Macaca fascicularis: one gene and its partner. The protein of the gene in region 1 purifies or fractionates together with the protein of each later gene. This does not show direct contact. Links are inferred from orthologs where the notes say so. Each region holds a gene or a part of one and is shown in the gene's direction. Other genes may lie near its edges.

Region 1 (3,748 bases):
GGAGTTGTCAAATATCTTTCAGAAAAACAAAATGAAAAGAATTTATATGATATATATAACTGTCATGAGTCTAATACTTTATATAGACATTTAATTATCTAGATCACTTATTTTCCTATCTTTTGTACCATTAATGTTTTTCTCCATTAAATTATTCTTTCCCCCATATGCAACATTTTAGGTTGTTCACAATTCGTTGTTATCAATTTGCCATGCCCTTCAATCTTCTCTTTCTCTTTTTCTCTCTTAGCCAATTTACGACACCAGATTAGCCACATATGTTGAGTGTGTGGATCGCCAAAATTATAAACCACAAATGGCATAAGTTTGAGGAATTCAAATAACTCTGGCAAACTCTAACCTCAACTGCACCCAACAAAAATGAACAAGAAAAGACTTTCCCTATCTTAAGCCTCTAAAAACATTTTCATAGAAAGCAGAGTTAAAGCCATCCTGCCACTTCTTTTTAGGCTTTTCAAGACCTAAATTCTCTAGGTCTCATCATCTTTCTCTTTCTATTTATTTATTTATTTAGAAAAGCTATTTGCCATAGGGAAATTTGGATATATAATAAATACATGAGAGAATAAGGTATGCCTAAATGGGACACTTCAGAATCAACATAAATTTTGGATCTCACCTGCAATTTTGAAAGTCCTATTAATTTAAAAACTAGTAAATACCTTAATATTCATGATAGCTTACTGTAAGATTCCCTAGAGGCAATGAAGATGGGAATCTCAAGAAAACTAAAACTACCATACATCTTGGCTTCAGAGGTGAAAATAGGGGGAGAGGATTGGCTAGTTATCAACAGAAGGGAAAGTGCTTTTTGCACAGAGAAAGAATAGACAAGGCAACAAAAGTGGCAAACTGTAAGGGCCAATACACATCCACTGCTTCAAGTTTTTCAGCCATGTTCCATTCTCAGAGATTTCTGGTAGTACTTCAAGAACACCGATCTCCAAACTCCTCCTGAAAAGGGCTAGGAATGCTTCTGCCTGAAGATCTTACCTATTCTTTCTGGGCCCCATGATCTCCCTACATGATTGATCAACCTACTATTTCAACTCGAAAAAGCCTTTTCACAAATGTCAACTTCAGTGAGGCCTCCATTTAAAAATGAACACCCTACCAAGTCCTTTCCTAATTTCTGATTACACCCTGTGAATTTACATCAACCTACCCCACACCCTCAGTTTATGCCTCTTTTGAACATTCCTGCCGGGCTTCTCCTTTAAATCTTGCCTGGAAGGGGCGGAGCTATGTCCCAGGCTCACCGGGAGGAGCGTTCCGTAGGCTCCGCCCACCTACGTCTCAGAGGGCGCCCCAACGAACCCTGGATAAGGTCTCTTCCTAGTCCGCTCCGGAAATGCGACTGCGTACGCGCTGGACACGCAGTCGTGACGTCAGCGCGCCCGCGCCGGCTGGCCGGACGCCCTAGGCTTCCGCGAGATCTTAGGTGGGGGTTCGGTTGCTTTACGCCACGGCACTGCTGCGGTTGGGTTGTCACCTGTAGGCTGTCTGGACCTGGTCACGATTCCACAATGTACCACAACAGTAGCCAGAAGCGGCACTGGACTTTCTCCAGTGAGGAGCAGCTGGCAAGACTGCGGGCCGACGCCAACCGCAAATTCAGATGCAAAGCGGTGGCCAACGGGAAGGTGAGGTTTTCCCGACGGTTGCCCAGTTGCTTGGTCACTAAATTCTGAGCAGCTGCGGGAGCTCTTCTGGCTCCCAGGACAGTCTCACTCCCTCATTTCTCTGCCTCTGCGGCGCGGAGTGCGTTTATCTATTAAAATAAGCGAGCACCTCGCGAGGTTCCGTGGGTACAAAGACGAACAACGCCATCCCCGTGGTCGAATGGCAGACAAGTAACCAGTCTTTGTAACGTGGTGAAGAAGAGAGTAGGTAGTGTGCTAAGGTAGTGCGTGGCAAGAGCCGTTCACTTGTCAAGCGGTGATGTTGGGGAAGGTTTTTCCCAGTAGCCAATGCGGAGAAAATGGGGAAAGGACGTTCCAGGCAGTCAGAACTACCGTGCAGAGTGGGAGGGAGGTCAGAAGTTACAGGGCTGGTGCGTGGACGTGTTTGTGGTCGTATGTGGCCGAATGTGAGTACCTGTACAGGAATGGCTGGGGAGGGTAGGAAGGGAACTTGTTTGTAAGTGGAAGTGAGGCGTTTGAAATTTCCATTGAAAGGATGAGGAACCTTTGAAATATTTAAAATGGGAAGCTAACCTTATCAGATTTCCGTTCTGGAAACAGCGCTCTAGCAACCTCGTGGTGAATGGGTTGGATGAGGCGGGAGACCGGCGACGGAATACAAACCAAGTGACTAAAGATAAGGTTTGGACTGTGGCCCGCTAGCCAAGTCCCTTCTGTTACAGCTCTAGGACTGGTTTAATCTTTCTTACAAGCTCCACTCCAGCAAGTGTTCAGTGCCTCCAAATTACTGACACTGAATTACTTTACTTTCTACCTTTAATTCACATCACTGATTTTAGCACCTGAATTAGTTTCCTTAAGGGCTGCCTTAAAAAAATCACCACAGACTGGGTAGCTTAAAATAACAGAAATTTATTGAAACATTTGCTGTTTTTTTACAACTTGTGTCGTAATGACTGACCGAGAAACGAATGTTGGAAGCTTTCCAATCATATTTGTAAAAAGTCTATCTACTTTTAAATTTGTAAATAATGATATCACAGCTGTGAGCATATGCACATAGCCTATCGTGATTGTTTATATAATGAAGCAAAGGTCTAGCTGACATTCCGAAAAGTTGTGAAATGATGGTACAGTTTTAGTTTATTGTTTTCCTACAGCTATTTTGTGTAATGATTAGCGAATCTATAAAGAAAACGAGGCGTGATATATTCCCCTTCGTTGGAGATATAAACTAAATTTAATCTGGATAGAGAAAAATGTTTTACAATTGTTTAATTCATTGAATTCATTGAACTTGTGTTGTAATTGTTGATCTAAAGGTTCTTCCGAATGATCCAGTCTTTCTTGAGCCTCATGAAGAAATGACACTCTGCAAATACTATGAGAAAAGGTTATTGGAATTCTGTTCGGTGTTTAAGCCAGCAATGCCAAGGTCTGTTGTGGTAAGTTACAGTAGTGATGAAATATAATGTCCTTTAGTTGACTTGTGAAATTTGACCTCTTCTAAATTCCCTGTCCACTCTAGTCTTAAAAATTCACGTTAGTTACAATTAATTAGTTTTTGGCACATTATATCTTTTTCAGTTCAGGCCTTAACTCTTGAATTGCTGTATCATATCTTCAAAAGTATTTCAAGTCTCATTTTGTGGTCAGAAAAAAATTTGAGGTCAGGTAATGTTATAAAGAAAGAAACAAAATAAATTACTTTCCTCTAAGTTCTCAACTAGTGAGCCATAGAACTGGGACTAGAACATAGACTACTTGCTTTTCCAACTCTGTGACACCCAATAAATGTTTGAAGTAATGCATTCTTTCATAATTGGTAATCATATGCCCCAGCTGAAACTGATACCATAAGATTTTTTTAAGCCTTAATTAGTAGAAGCTGGAGTTTTATCTTTGGTTAAAAAAGATTGTCTTATTGCTTCAGATGTATGGTTCTGAGGACCTGTTTGTTTTTTGCTGGGGTGGGCAACCGTGAGGAGAAACAGGTAGCTGAGATTAAAAAGCAGAAAGATAAAAAAGCTAGAGTGGGAGGGTGTTTAAAATGTCTTTACGTTATTCTCTCACAGGTTTGTTGC
Region 2 (3,648 bases), on another chromosome or scaffold:
CCTACAGACACTGTCCCCGCTGGACATCTACCCCAAGATCCTGGACTTCCACCCCGTCACCATGGCAACCTTCACCATGACGCTGGCCAGGGTCTGCCTCTGCCCTATGGTGAGTGGGAGAGGCTAGGGCTGGGACTGGGAGGGGAGGTGGGAGCAAGGGGCTGCGTCCCTTCCTTGGCTTCCCCCACTGCTCAGGCAGGAGAGTTTTACAGTGAAGAGGCCGGGTTTGGGATTCAGACAGACTTAGGCTTGATTCTGCTTCTCCGGGGGTACAACTCTCAAACCTCAGTTTTCTTATCTGTGAAATGGGAATGTATCCTCCCTGATCTCCCAGGGCGGTTGAGAGGATTGAGAGAGAACTGGGGTAAAACACTTAGGTACCCCAGGGTCTGGCACAGGTAGGCGCTTACTCAGCATCTTGGTTAACGTGGCTTTGCCGGGTACATGGTCTGGCTGTGACCCAGGTAAGTGGGCCTTCCTGTCCATCTCCATCTCTGTAACATGTACATGTCAACATGGGCCCTCAGTCCCTTATCTGAAGTCCCGAGGCTGGTTTTTTGTTTTGAGATGGACTCTTGCTCTGTTGCCCAGGCTGGAGTGCAATGGCACGGATCTCAGCTCACTGCAACCTCTGCCTCCTGGATTCAAGTGATTCTCGTGCTTCAGCCTCCTGAGTAGCTGGGATTACAGGCGTGTGCCACAACGCCCGGCTAAATTTTGTACTTTTAGTAGAGACAGGGTTTCACCATGTTGGCCAGGCTGGTCTCAAGTGATCTGCCCACCTGGTCCTCCCAAAGTGCTGGGATTACAGGTGTGAGCCACTGCGCGCAGCCATTTGTTTTGGAATTCAGAATTTTCCAGCCTTTAGAGACAAGGCATATGCTGTGTAGTGTGTGACGCCCCCAGTGGGGTCTGGGTGGCTCCCCCGAGTCAAACTCCTATTTTGGCAGTAAAAGATTTGGAAGCATCACATTAAGGAGTAAGTCAGGCCTCTGCAGAGACTCAGGGCAGGGCAGGTTTTGCTACTTAATGAGTTTGTGCCAAACTGAAAAAGAAATGTGTTCAGAGCTTTTGGCTTTTGGAGTTGCCCTGTCAGAGGTTGTGGACCAGTGATGACCACCCACTGCATGGTGGTTGTGTGAGGTTGCCGGCTGGCGGGGATGCCCACCGGCATAGTGAGGGGTGTTCTTCGGGATCCGGCTGGCCTGGGGCCTGGGGCTGGCTAGAGTGTAGCTGCTGGTGGAGAGTGTGGACAGACTCGGGTCCAGTTCCATGTTTGCCACCTATTCACTGTGTGACCTTGGGCAGGCAACTCACCTTTTCTGAGGCCAGGGTAGCTGAGGGTTCATTCAGTGACACTGTGTTAATAAAAAGTTTAGAGCAGACTGGGTGTGGTGGCTCACTCCTATAATCCCAGCACTTTGGGAGGCCAAGGTGGGACAGTCGCTTGAGGCCAGATGTTCAAGACCAGACTGGGCAACATGGTGACGCCCTGTCTCTATTAAAAAAAAAAAAAAAAAAGCTTAGAACAGCACCAGCAGGTGGTCAGCACTCACACGCTGGAGCAGTTGCTGCTGCCTCGCTTATCATGATCTCTGTTGCTCTCTTCAGATCATCGGCCGTGGCAATGACCAGGTGGCCATCAGCTCCAAATTTGAGACCCGGGAGGATATTGGTATGCTGCCAGTGGGGCTGGTTTCTGTGGGTTCCAAGAGGGAGGTGTATCAGTCAGATGGGCTGAGTCACGCTGCTGTAACAAATGTCCCTGGCCTTAGTTGCTTAGCCCAGAGCTTCCTTCTTGCCCATGGGACACGTCCACTGCGAGCTGGTAGGGGGCCTGCCCTGTGTCTCCTCACCTGGGAACCTCCATCGCTGGGTGCGTCAGAGGCAGCGTGATATGACAGGTGGGATCACAGTGGTCACAGTGAATTGTGCACTGGTTCCTAAGGGTGCTCCCCTGGAAGTGACACATGGCCTTTTTTTGAGACAGAGTCTTGCTCTGTTACCTAGGCTGGAGTGCAGTGGCATGATCTCGGCTCACTGCAACCTTTGCCTTGCGGGTTCAAGCAGTTCTTGTGCCTCAGCCTCCCGAGCAGCTGGATTTATAGGCATCTGCCACCACGCCAGGCTAATTTTTGTATTTTTAGTACAGATGGGGTTTTGCCGTGTTGGCCAGGCTGGTCTCAAACTCCTGACCTCAGATGATCCACCCACCTCGACCTCCCAAAGTGCTGGGATTACAGGCGTGAGCCGCCGCGCCTGACCCCTTCTGCACTGATTTCATTGGCCATGGCAAATTACATAGCCAGGTGTGACTTCAGGAAGTGGCAAGGAGGGTCCTCAAACACGCCTGGGAGGAGGAGGAAGGGGATGTGTGTGAATAGCCTGACAGCCAGCCTCAGTGGGGTTTCCAGAAACTCTAGTTTGAAGACAGAGAAGGGAGGAGGATCTGAGACAGGAGAGGGCCTAACCTCTGACTCCTCGCAGCTGTGATCCGGAACTACGGGAACCTCCTGCTGGAGATGTCTGCTGTGGTCCCTGATGGCATCGTGGCCTTCTTCACCAGCTACCAGTACATGGAGAGCACCGTGGCCTCCTGGTATGAGCAGGTATGCCTGGCCACCCCCTCCCTGCACTTGCTCTCCTCAGCCCCTGGCACTGCAGGAGGGGAGTCACCTGTTCTCCTCAGCCCCTGGCACTACACTGCTATGTCAGCTTCATTCCTCTTACCCTCTGATGGTGACAGGTGTCCTGTGTGACAGGAGAGTGCATGCAGCATGTAGGAATGGGGTGTAAGCAGCACATACCCTATGCCCCGCCCCCAGTACATCAGGCTGAGAACGCAGACATAAGCCCCAATGTGGGCCCCTCCCTCAGAGGAGTACCCTGTGGCGGAGTCACCCCCACCTTCTAGGTTCCTTGCTCCCCTGCTGCTCTTTGGGGCTACCCCATCCCTGTGATCCTCCAGCACAGATGGCCTGGTGGGGAGGCCCAGGTAGCAGGTGTGACTCTATCTAGGTTAGAGGAAGGTTCTAGAGAATCAAGGCTGGACTGAGACTCAGGGCAAAGCCTCTCAAGGGTCTGCAGGAGCCCTTTCAGGGAAGCAGGCAGAGGAAGTCATGGGGCATTCTGGAAACAGGGCTCACCACAGCCAGTCCCTGGGTGGGAGGGGAGGCCACTCTGCACTTTGTGCCTCTGAGCACACCATGGCCAGGCTCTCAGGAGTGGGTGAAAGCACATTGGGGCGAGGTGAGTGAACCTGGCTAATCCAAGTATTGGAATGGCACTCATGGGAGGCAGGAACCTCATCCTCACAGCCGGGACCTTGGCCTTGTGCTTCAATAGGTGGCTTCCACACGGCGGAAAGGTGATCCAGTCCCCACAGCCCAGGTGCCTTTTGTGTCCTATTTAAGACAACTTTGTCTTAAATACCCCAAGGTCATGAAGAGAGGCTGCTGTGTTTCCTTCTAGGAGCTTGTGGTTTTAGCTTTCACATCTAGGTCTATGAGGTACCTCAAATTCATCTTTCTATATGGTGTAAGGTAGGGGGTCAAGGTTCATTTTTTGGTTCCATTTGGAAATCCACTTGCTCCAGTAAAAGCTTTCCCCACTGAACTGCACAGGTGGCTGTGTGTTTCTGGACTCTCC

The links. The genes of interacting proteins can lie anywhere in the genome.
Region 2: the proteins of CCNH (region 1) and ERCC2 purify together in Homo sapiens (affinity purification with mass spectrometry; 3 studies listed by BioGRID and IntAct, counting the BioPlex papers as one, with this or other methods). This does not show direct contact. The link is inferred for Macaca fascicularis from reciprocal best matches to the Homo sapiens genes CCNH and ERCC2.

The regions. Positions count from the first base shown.
Region 1 is NC_088380.1:91,396,271-91,400,018, reverse strand, and holds the start of CCNH (cyclin-H), read left to right. Parts: upstream 1-1,437; 5' UTR 1,438-1,547; coding exon 1,548-1,664; intron 1,665-2,986; coding exon 2,987-3,109; intron 3,110-3,748. UniProt on the Homo sapiens protein: Regulates CDK7, the catalytic subunit of the CDK-activating kinase (CAK) enzymatic complex. CAK activates the cyclin-associated kinases CDK1, CDK2, CDK4 and CDK6 by threonine phosphorylation.
Region 2 is NC_088393.1:53,406,177-53,409,824, reverse strand, and holds part of ERCC2 (general transcription and DNA repair factor IIH helicase subunit XPD), read left to right. Parts: intron 1-7; coding exon 8-109; intron 110-1,611; coding exon 1,612-1,675; intron 1,676-2,487; coding exon 2,488-2,609; intron 2,610-3,648. UniProt on the Homo sapiens protein: ATP-dependent 5'-3' DNA helicase. Component of the general transcription and DNA repair factor IIH (TFIIH) core complex, not absolutely essential for minimal transcription in vitro.